Ovis aries: one gene and its partner. The protein of the gene in region 1 interacts with the protein of each later gene in a pairwise test. Links are inferred from orthologs where the notes say so. Each region holds a gene or a part of one and is shown in the gene's direction. Other genes may lie near its edges.

Region 1 (5,819 bases):
AGTATTTAATTGCACATACAGATGTTTGCTGGGTATATTCACTGTAAATTTTATTTAATCTGATTTTTTGTTTGTTGGGGGTTCTTTGGGGGGGGAGGTTGATTTTGTTTTTAAATATAAAAAAAAAAAAAATCTGTTGCTGGACATCAGTCCCTGTTTTCTGTTCCACCCTGGTGTGGATGGGGGCTGGGTGGGTTTGGTGTGGGCTGGATGGCTTTCTCTGGCATATGCACACATATCTGCCTAACACAGTTCCCTGCATCCCATCCTCCTAACAAGTGTTTCTGATAGATGGCTGGGTCTCTGACAGGACTCTGCCACGAACTGTGGTTTATCAAGCACATCATGCTAGACACTGGACCTCTGAGTTCTTACCAGTAAAATAAGAGACTTGGACTAACTAGGTGACCTCCAGGTTCCTTCCACCCTGTTAATTCTGTGATATTCATTTAGGGTTCTGGTAGCTAAGCCAGAGGGGTGTGAGTGAGGTCAAAATTGGGTCAAGATGCTGGCCTCATACATGCCCATCTCCTGAAAACTCTTCAGGGATGGAGGACTTGGGCATTTCTTTAACTCCAAAGCCAGAGGGCTGGGTTCTACCTGATAGGAACAGGATTGCATGTTTCTTAAAATAAAAGCTGTACCAGTTGAATGTGCTGTGCCAAGATGCCATACTGCCCAGGTGTGCTTAGCAGTCCCTGTCCTGTACAACTAAAGAAAGACAAAGAACAGAAGTCATGTGCCCATAAGATAGAACTCTCCTCTGTCTTCACAAAGCTAACCCTGTTGTTGAACCAGTCAGACCAGGGCTGTTAAAGAGCCTGTTGACCCAGAACCATCCAGCAGCCCCTTCTCAATGTCACCCTCCCCTTAAAGAAAGAAAAAACAGCAGTAGGTAGAAATGACAGCACACTGCCGTGGAAATCCCTGGGGTGTGGATAGCAGTGTCTCTCTAGCCAGCCTCCTCTGAAGTTAGTCTGACCCAACCTCTAACATAATCCTTTACTTTTTGCAGATACACAGGATAAAGCAACACGACATTATTGTCTCCAAATTACTCTCCTCTGAGATGGGAGTATCTCCTTTTTCAACCATGTCATAGCTCAGACTAGGAAAAGGCTGCATCCCTGTGAGATAAGGCTGCCAGATATATATTTGACCCCTTGGTTCATATGCCAGGGCAGCAGAGGAAGGAGGTGGAATCAGGGAATCAGAATGACGAGGGAAGCTTGGGGCTTGGCCATCCCACCTCTTAGAGTTTGCAGATGGGAAAGGGCACATTACTTACAGATGACAGACTCCCTGTGTGACAGCTGTTGCTTTCTGTCCAACATTAACAGAACAATCTCTATGTGATCATTAGACCCTCACTCCCCCAGAACCTCTCAAATGGAAGTCCCAGCCTGGCTTTTTAAAATAGCTTTTAGAATTCTGTTCACCCCAAGGACAAGATTTTCGGGGGATAGGGGACAGATATCTCTGAGGGCTACTGCAGGGAACAAAGCAGTACCACAGGTTCTTCACTCCCTCACAGAATAGCAGCAAGGCACTCTTCCAGCTTCCTGTGGATAGAAAAGCAATCAAATTTTCCTTTCTTCACCAGTTTCCAAGCCCTTTCCTTCCTAAAGATTGGAGGCTAGATCAGTGCTCGAGGGTATAAAAACACGTGGCCACAAGAAGACAGTGGCTGAGAGGTTGAAAGCTAGATTCCAGAGAGAGTAAAACTGGGGAGGTGTTTGGATCTTGGGATAAGGGGACGAAGAAGGCTGCTTATAATTCATCTTTACCTTTAGTTATTTAAAGTCACTCTCTTGAGTGAATTCCTTGGCAGTCCAGTGGTTAGGATTCTGAGCTTTCACTGGGCCCAGGTTCGATTCCTAGTCAGGGAACTAAGATTCCACAAGTAATATGGAGCAACCAAAAAAAAAAAAAATTGATCCACATGAGTATGCAGTATGGACTGTGCCTTCCTGAATTTAGCCAGTTCTGACCTGCACACCATAGATGAAAACCTGGGCAACAGCACTCGGGGGGGTGGGAGGAGTTAGGGTCCAGCCCGCCCCGTGTCCAATTTCTCTGTGTCAGCTGTGTCGCTCAGCTGTCCACTTCCCTCTAGCCCTGTCATTTCAGCTCTGACACCAAGGCAAGAGGCTAGGAGGTCTACAAACACCGTCTGGGTAGCCGGTGTGAGTACAGAGGGTACTGGGGGGGCTTAGCCCCCAAGGAAGACGACCAGCCTTCCCCGAACACCACCATCAAGATCACAGGGGCTCCCTCTTTCCTCTGCAGGCTGTGAACTGACTTAGGGAATCCCAAACGTAAGTTGCCTCTTCATCCTCTTTCCATTTCCAGGATTGCTCACCCAAGCTTCCCCAATCCATAGTCTATTCAGCTTCTTCATTTCTCTCCTTGTTTGTGAGTAGTTTGGGTTTTAGGAGTGAATTTATTATGCTACTCCAGGACAAGAGCTAGGATTGGAGGGTGGGGTGGGGGTGGGATCAGGAGAATGGAGCAGTAAGGGAAGGAAAGGCTCATATTACTCTGAAAACTTAAAATAGCTAAAGGCTGAGGCAGGCTGGGAACTAGGCACTGGGCCCCCAGGGCTCATGGGAGAGCTAGAGGAGAACAACTGTGCTCAGCCCATCCCTCCACGCATGTTTGTGGACACACACATTAAACCTTTTGAAAGAGGATCTAGGGAGGTGTGTGTGTCACATTTCTGTTGCCCCAGGTTTTCAGGAGAAACAAAGTATCTGTAGGAAAATCCCTAAACCATGCAGCCTTGGGGCTGTAAACTTGGGTTGTCCCTCAGGGCAGAAGGATGCTTACTGATTTGAGGAGTTGGTTGGGAAGTTCTTTAGTCTGCTGGGCTTTTCTCTGGCCCTCCCTGCTCATAAATCTTGTGAAAGGATCTCTTTTTAACCAAATTTCTCACAAAGCCTCCCCTTCAAGGACCACCCTACTACAAGGGACAGGAATAAGGGAGGGAAGAATGGCAGCTGGGGATGAGATTTCATGGTGGGTCCAACTTCTTGCAGGATGACAGAAAAGGAGGTGCTGGAGTCCTCCTCTTTTCCATCAGAGACTCGGAAAGGTGGGGTGAGTCTGGGCCTCTGACCACCGGGGGTGGGAAGCTGGGGAGCCCCTGCAGCTCTTGAAGAAAAGTGCTTGAATTGATCTCACTTGTATATGTTAAAATCTCACTTACTGTTAAAATGCTCCATAGCACCTGCAGCCCCCACACCCCCTAATCCCGGAGTGTGGCCCTTGTCCCAGGTAGAAAAATGTAGAGATAGCCTCAGCCTTACCTACTCTAGAAGGCAAGACAGTTCTTTCAACACTGGATCTCCCTCCCTCAGCTACAGCGGCTGAAACAGTTATTCAGGAAGGAGTCTACAGGGACAAAGGAGATGGAGCTTCCCCCAGAGCCCCAGGCCAATGGGGAGGCAGTGGGAGCTGGAGGTGGGCCCATCTACTACATCTATGAGGAAGAGGAGGAAGAAGAGGAGGAGGAGGAGGAGCCACCCCCAGAGCCTCCTAAGCTTGTTAATGATAAACCTCACAAATTCAAAGATCATTTCTTCAAGAAGCCCAAGTTCTGTGATGTCTGTGCCCGGATGATTGTGCGTGAGTCACGAAGGGAAGTGGAGAGAGTGCTGTTGAAGGCAGGGGTGGGGGAAAGGGTTTAGGAGAGAAGTATTTGTCTGATCAGACAGGCTGTGGCAAGATCTGGCTCTAGGAAAATACTTAGAGACAGTGTGGGCTCCCAGACAGAAAAGGGACCGGGGAGCTAGAGCAGCAGCAGCCTTTCAAAGGGGGAGGGAAACCAGGAGCCTCACCCAGCATTCTCTCCATCTCCCAAGTCAACAACAAATTTGGGCTTCGCTGTAAGAACTGCAAAACCAACATCCACGAACACTGCCAGTCCTACGTGGAGATGCAGAGATGCTTCGGCAAGATCGTGAGTAGGCTCTGGGGAGCAAGAAAGTAGAAGGCAGGGCACATATGGCCAGCTTCCTCCTTTGCCAGTCCCTCCTCAAGTCACCCCACCCATTTCCCTGCTTTTTCTTCCTCAGCCCATCTCTCACTCCAAGAAGGGGCACACACACGTGGGAGAGACAGGGTTCTGGGCCCTGCCTGGTATCGCTAATGTTGTCTCCCATCCAATCCTACAGCCCCCTGGTTTCCATCGGGCCTATAGCTCTCCACTCTACAGCAACCAGCAGTACGCTTGTGTCAAAGATCTCTGTAAGTGCCCCGTACGGAACCTGAGGGAGTGGGAAAGCCTAGAGGTGCTTTCAGCACTGTCTCCAGATTTGGAAGCCAAATTCTGAAACAGAAAGATTCTATTTCCCATCGTTTTCACTCAATCTAGTGTTTCAGCCATCTTGGATACAAAGTCAGTATCCCCGTGTTTTATGGCTGGGGGAGATAAGATTTAGCTCTATATGGTAAGGAAGAGACTGAAACTTTCATCTGCCTGAACTCAAACTCTGTGCTCTTTCTATGCAAAGCCATTTGTAACCATGAACTACACTCTCCTCATCCCCTTATTACAAAATAATGCCAGACTCAGGGCCAGATAAAGAGCTGTGGGCATCCTGGGAAGATTCATAATTTGGCACCCCTTAAAAATGTATTCATTGATAATTTGCTCAACCTTTATCTGGAGAAGAGGCTGAACTCTCTGTGAGGAGCATGGATGGAAAAAATGAAGAACCCACTGCTGGTAGTACCCCAGCTTGCACATGCCACTCAGAGGAATAAAAGCCAACCGTTACACAAAGGACCCACTCTCCTTGAAAAGAGTGATTCTGAGCATTCCCCAGCTCCCAAGCAACTTATTAGTAGAGTTGTCTTTCTAACAACATACAATGCTTGGCCTGGAAGGAGCACTGGTAAATATTTTTCTCCATCATACTTCCAGTGATGTCTTTAGAGTTCTTTATAAATTGATGATCTAGGTATTCCCAGCTGACACTTTTCTAATTCTAAACACACACACTCGGGTATCTATTACTCAATCCCATCTCTCCCTTACTTAGGTGGTTTCTCTTTCCTCCAAGACTTTTTCTGCCTCCCCACTAATAGCTCTTTTCTTCTCCCATTCCAACTAGCTTCTGCCAATCGCAATGACCCTGTGTTTGAAACCCTTCGCACTGGGGTGATCATGGCAAACAAAGAACGGAAGAAGGGACAGGCAGATAAGAAAAATGTGAGCACCCAATCTTCCTACTGAGATCCGTTCCAGAGACCCCAGTGAGCAGGTCCTGTCTCCTCTCTGGAAAGCTGACAAAAGTAGGGATCCTTTTCCCCTAAAACTGCACATAACCCAACAGACAAATTTCTGTGTGCAATTTTAAAGGGCCTCAGTTTAGCATCTCCTTACAGCATGTGTTTAGGAACTCCCTTTTGAACTTGTCAGATTAACCACCATAATTCAACTAAAGGCTAGGACCTAGGCCTCTGGCATTGCCAGGCAACAGAAGTGATCTATATGCTTTTGGATTTGGGAAGGAGAACTTGTCATGCCATTCTAGAACCCCATAAGGGCCCATGAAGACAATCTGTTCTGACTCATCTATCCGAAAGATGAGGAAACGGAAACACAAAGCTTCTGGCCAAGAGCACCTTCATTTCCTAGATTGGTAATACAATAGACTTGTATTCAGCTCAGCAAGGGATTTGTTAGCATATCCTTACATCTTTCTGGACAAGGATGGACTAATGTGGATAATGATCACAGTTAGATGGATTCATAAAATTAGTTGAATGACAGCACCCAAAGGATCCTGGTCCTTTAGGGAGTTTCCAACTAT
Region 2 (5,725 bases), on another chromosome or scaffold:
TTATAATCATATATTTTAAAATATCCCTTTTCCTAAGGATTCCCTACTTTTTCTATAATAAGCAACACATTTTTTATAATGAGGCAAATATTGTAGATTTTTATAGCATGATACACTTTATTTGACATTTCTTTATTTTAGGTTGCAATAGAACATGAAAAATAAATACCAAATGATATAAAGTGATCATTTCCAGTGAAAGGCAAAATAGAACATATTACAAAGAAAATGTGGTTAGTACCTTTAGTTCACAGTTACACAGGATAAGATGAGCAGAATTTTTAAAAAAATGCTATGTTATATTAACACCTCAGTAGTAAACAGTAACTTCATTATCCTTAAATTTATAAATCACTATGTCACATTAACATGCTCAGTCATATCATACATGGTTTGATGGACATTATTAAATGTATGGTAATCTTTTTTCAAGCAGTCAAATTTCACAATGCACTGTTCAAGATAGTATAATATTGTATTTCTGTAGCAAATGAAAGCACAGCTAGTACAAAGCAGATTTAAAGCCTTAGTCTTCCAGTCTGGGAAAAAAAAAAAAAAAAAAAAACACTTGCATTGATATTTCAGGAACTTTGTTTTATTTCAAGGAAATATTGTCTTGGTTAACAATTCTTACAGTTTTCACAGCTATATTGTAATAGGAACACAACAAAAAATTTCACAAAAATTAGAACCTTGTAGCACCAAACAACATGCTTTAGACAACTGACAGCAAGTTACACGTTTTGAAGAATATTACACAACAACAGGCTAGATAGAATTTAAGACAATTTAAGACAATATTTTAGGCTATGAAGAAAGTACAAAAACTCAAGACTATGAGGAATACTAGTGTTGAGATTACAGGGCAGGTTTTTTCAAGGCTATATAAACCTGTTTCATTTCTGCTTGAAATTTGAGATTCCTGAAAATTCTTTCATGCAGCCTCTTTTATATTTTCGTTATTTCCTATTTCCATAGTCTTTATGGACTCATAGGTACCATTGACTTCTCTTGTATAGTAATAGATTGATTTCAGGATGACGTTATCATGCAAAGTTTGACCAATTTCAAAATCTTCATCAAGGATAGCATCTTCTCGTGGTTCAAGCTTTCCGATAGTAGGAATCTCAGGAGGGCTAAAGATATTGAAGAATGATGCATCAGGAACCACTCTTGGCTGGGTTTCAACTTGTCCAGTAGCTGCTGTGCAACTCTGGGTGGTTGTCATTGTAACATCCTTTCCTCTTCTCCAATCTTACAGCCTTTGCAATCTTGGATTTCCCAGTCCCAAGAGAAGAAGGGATCATTGTGATCTGGCTTTGACTTTATTATATATCTCTTGGTCAGCACCTCATTCTTGAAGTATGGATTGGGTAGAAAGCAAAATTCAAATGTGTAACTTACAGGCCTGCTGGGTTTTTAAAACTTCAGGCTAACATCAGACAGAAGTTCAGAATGGGCTCATCATACTTCTGAATCATGGGCCCCAGCTTGTCAACATTCTTGAACACAGTCAGCCAATAGTCAGGAATGCCTTTAGGATCTTATCTTTTAGGCTTTCCTTTTCGAGCTCTTTTAAGAGCTCTATCTTTAGGCGTGACCTCAGGAACTCTTTTTGGAGCCTCTTTTCCTGGAGTCCTTGCCTTAGCCTCTGCTGCTTTAGCCTGCCCTTTATCTTCTGCCTTTGCCTGGAGGGCTTATTTTGGATCTTCTTTTACTTCAGGCCTGGCCTCCAGAGCATCTTTGGACTGTGCTTTTTCTTCAGTCTTTGCTTCGGAATTTTCTTTTGGTGTTACATTTTCTTCAGCCTTGACCTCAGGTTTTGCTTCCAGGTCATCCTCTTCTTCCTCACTCTCTAAAGCAGGCATCTCACTAGAGTCTTCCTGCATCTCTTCATCGCTGCTGAACACCTCATCCTCCGAATTCCATTCACATTTTTCTTCCGTGGGCTCATATTCTGCATTGATGATTTGGAATCGCCGGTTGTACAGAGCCCTATTGAGTTCGGCATATTTTCGTTCGAGATCATGAACTGCCTTTAAGAACAGGGCGTCTACCTTGTCACATTCGTCTTGAATATTTCTGAGAGCCTGCACACGATTTCTAACCGCCCGAGGCAGCTGATCCACGAAACTTCTACCTGACGGAGCCCGCCTCACACTTCTGGAGGGCCCAGGTACACTTATACGTCTATAGAATGGGCTGCGGCCACTGCTGCTACTGCAACTACTGCTGCTGCTACAGCTGCTGCTGTCAGATTCGTCCCCAGAATCGCTAGACGAGATAGCTACCATCTCTCCATCCACCCCCTGGGCGGCAGGTTCCGAGACCCTGTTAGGATCCGCTTCTGCCATTCTGCAAGTCTGCAAACCTCTTAGGTGGTCACTACCGCGTGCCCAGAGATGGGTAGAAAATGACTCACGGATGCTTGGGTGGTGGCGGCGGAAGCCGGGGCTGAGGAAGTGGCAGCGGTGAAGGCAGCAGGAGCGCTGGGCGGGGCGCGGCTGGGCCGAGGTGACTGCACCGGAGGTGGCGGCGGCAGCGGAGGCCTGGGCGACAGTGGTGGAGGCAAGGCCTCTCTGACCTGCAGCTGCGGCGGACTGAGGTGTGACGCAGCTGAATATCGCACTGCGAGAGCCCGAGATCTCTTCACTGCTTACATCTTGAGCCCCCTCCCCTCGCAGTCAGACCTCCAGTTCCTTTAGTTCCCAGTGTGCCTTTAGCTCGCACCTCATTTGCTAGACAAACTTGATTGACCTTGATTGACAATGCATCAGCCCAATAAGTGCGCAAGCACACCGCCGCCTCTAGGCTCCGCCTTCCTTTCCAGTCGCTCCTTGGTTGCTGAGGCACACACCACTGAAGACTTTTTTCCCCTTAAAATTCTGTCTTTATAGTTTTATAATTTCAAAAAAAAAAAAAAAAGCTTAGATATGAGGTAAAAATACTAGTCATGGTTCCTAACAAGGGAAGAGGAGTACGCTCCCATCCACTCATCCTTAATTCCCATTTGGTTTGTCAGGGGCCTCGTGACAAAAAGCTGTTCTTAAAAAATTGGAAGAAAATGCTCCAAATGGCATCATTGGATAGTATGATTATGGATTTCTTTTTAAATTCTCTTTCTTTTATCTGAATGTCTTATGAGCATGTATTTTTACACTGGGTAAAAAGGGGGAGTCGTTTATTGGCGAAGGGGGGAGGGGCTAGAAAGCAGGCATATTGAATTCCACGTAGCAGCTTTAATAAGTGCTGTTTGTGATGTTTGGCAAGCCTGTTTTATATCCATCTACAAGGTTTGCGAACCCATGTTGCCGTGAGTCAGTTACACCATTTTTTTTTACTGTATTTCTCTTTTTAATCTGACATGTCATAGACCCTGTCCTTGCTGGTGATTTGCCACGTAGTCTTTCTCCATGCTTTTAACAATCTTGTAGATAAAAAGGATAAACGGGCATTCAAATGTTAGGTAGTAGTATTTAAAAGCAGATGGTTTATTCTATACTTTTGTGGCAGCAGCTTTTAATTTCACGAATAGCAGGATGGGAGGGGGAATGTGTTGATGAAACTGCATCCTCTGTCAGGGTGTACTTTACAATGGCATCTGCCACCAGTTTCCTTCTAACATTGTACAATTCTAGCCATACTGAAGTATGATTTACAGGTTCAGTAATAGATGAATACACTTTTGCAAAATGAAGTTTAAAAACAGGTATCTGTTATTTTTATTTACAGGATTCTTTTCTGCAACAGAACGACTCCCTTGGTACAACCAAAAAGACCAGTGTTTACTTTTCATTGAAAGGTAAGGAACATATTTAGCCCATTTTTATGAATGACAAGAATTACCTATCTATATTTAAATAAAAATTCACAAGATGTAGCCTTTTATTTGGAAGATATCTTGTTAGTTCCATGGAAGCAGAAAAATCCACAGAGGTGATTTGGAATACTAATGTAGAAAATAACCTAATTAATCACATTCACTTTTCTGAACTTGCTCATAGACTACAAGTAACAAATTAAAATATAAAATATGATGAATTATTCATTTCAAATGAGGAAAAGTATTAAAGTTAGATTACCTCTTATCTTTCCTTTTTATTACAGAATTTGTGCTTATTTAGTTGTATTTTTTAAGTTAGGAAACACTTTTATTTCTATTTTATAAATGAATTTACTTTTATTATTTACTCCTGATTGTCAAAGTATGTAAGTATTGTAAGGAAAAATACAGCATAGAAAATTTCAATGGTAATACAAACACAATCAAATGATAACCACTGTTAGAATTTTGATGCATTTTCTTCCAGAATTTTCTTTGTAAATATATACATATGCCTGTTTACACATGCTGTTTTATCTATGTGACATCATATTGTGTTTTGTAATCTGCTTATTTATCAATTAATTGTGGCTATATTTTCACAGTAAATGGTTGAACATCTCATTTTTAAATAGATGCATATTCCATGAAAATATTTCCCGTAGTTTAACCAGATTCCTATTGTACAGCAGCTACTTATACTACCTCTCTACTAGTAGACGTATTTTTCCTGTTAGAAAATAGTTATCTCAGATACCTACTCTATGCACTTGTAAAAATTAGCCATATGATGAATTCCTAGAAATGAGAGTCCTGAAATAAACTGCCTGATCATTTTACTCTTTGATACATAGTGCAAAACTTCTCTCCAGAAAAAATTATCACAATTTGCAATTATACCAACAATGCATCAGTTCATTTATTTAGTCATTCAACTATTATATTTTTGTGCCTGCCATGTGCCAGGCACATGTGGTAGAGGAAGATGATATAAGTCTCACTAAAACTTACTGGGTGCATATCCTTTCATTTTTATAATTTTAATTAAAATATATACTATAGAAACAATGATTTAAATCAATGAAGCTATGCTGTAAATATTGTTCTATAAATTATTATTTTCCCTTAAAATGATGGACACATTTTGTTAATGAAGGAAGTTATATTTTATAGTACTTTAATGGTTTAATATACATGTTAAGTTTTGTACCAACAAGAATTAGTATTTTGGTTCTTTTTTAATTTTTTAAATTTTTTTATTTTACTTTACAATACTGTATTGGTTTTGCCATACATCAACATGAATCCACCACAGGTGTACATGTGTTCCCAATCCTGAATCCCCCCTCCCACCTCCCTCCCCATACCATTTCTCTGGGTCATCCCAGCACACCAACCCCAAGCATCCTGTATCCTGCATCGAACCTAGACTGGCAATTCATTTCTTATATGATATTATACATGTTTCAATGCCATTCTCCCAAATCATCCCACTCTCTCCCTCTCGCACAGATCCAAAAGACTGTTCTATACATCTGTGTCTTTTGCTGTCTTGCATACAGGGTTATTGTTACCATCTTTCTAAATTCCATATGTATGCGTTAGTATACTGTATTGGTGTTTTTCTTTCTGGCTTACTTCACTCTGTATAATAGGCTCCAGTTTCATCCACCTCGTTAGAACTGATTCAGATGTGTTCTTTTTAATGGCTGAGTAATACTCCATTGTTTATAATAGCCAGGACATGCAAGCAACCTAGATGTCCATCAGCTGATGAATGGATAAGAAAGCTGTGGTACATGTACCCAATGGAGAATTAGTATTTTGAAGTAAGCAGTGAGTTTGGGATTCAGACTTTTTAATGTATTTTTATTAGCTAGTTAATTTTCTGAGTATCACTTA

Evidence for each region. The genes of interacting proteins can lie anywhere in the genome.
Region 2: the proteins of STAC3 (region 1) and FAM133A interact in binary tests that used the Homo sapiens proteins (3 or more experiments, as listed by UniProt). The two-hybrid records come from large-scale screens. The link is inferred for Ovis aries from reciprocal best matches to the Homo sapiens genes STAC3 and FAM133A.

What each region holds. Positions count from the first base shown.
Region 1 is NC_056056.1:162,370,525-162,376,343, forward strand, and holds the start of STAC3 (SH3 and cysteine-rich domain-containing protein 3), read left to right. Parts: upstream 1-2,123; 5' UTR 2,124-2,318; intron 2,319-3,038; 5' UTR 3,039-3,039; coding exon 3,040-3,099; exon of another isoform or gene 3,100-3,359; coding exon 3,360-3,627; exon of another isoform or gene 3,628-3,863; coding exon 3,864-3,961; exon of another isoform or gene 3,962-4,175; coding exon 4,176-4,248; exon of another isoform or gene 4,249-5,117; coding exon 5,118-5,215; exon of another isoform or gene 5,216-5,819. UniProt on the Homo sapiens protein: Required for normal excitation-contraction coupling in skeletal muscle and for normal muscle contraction in response to membrane depolarization. Required for normal Ca(2+) release from the sarcplasmic reticulum, which ultimately leads to muscle contraction.
Region 2 is NC_056080.1:140,887,814-140,893,538, reverse strand, and holds the start of FAM133A (protein FAM133A), read left to right. Parts: upstream 1-2,528; 5' UTR 2,529-2,938; exon of another isoform or gene 2,939-3,089; intron 3,090-3,244; exon of another isoform or gene 3,245-3,466; intron 3,467-3,732; 5' UTR 3,733-3,802; intron 3,803-5,725.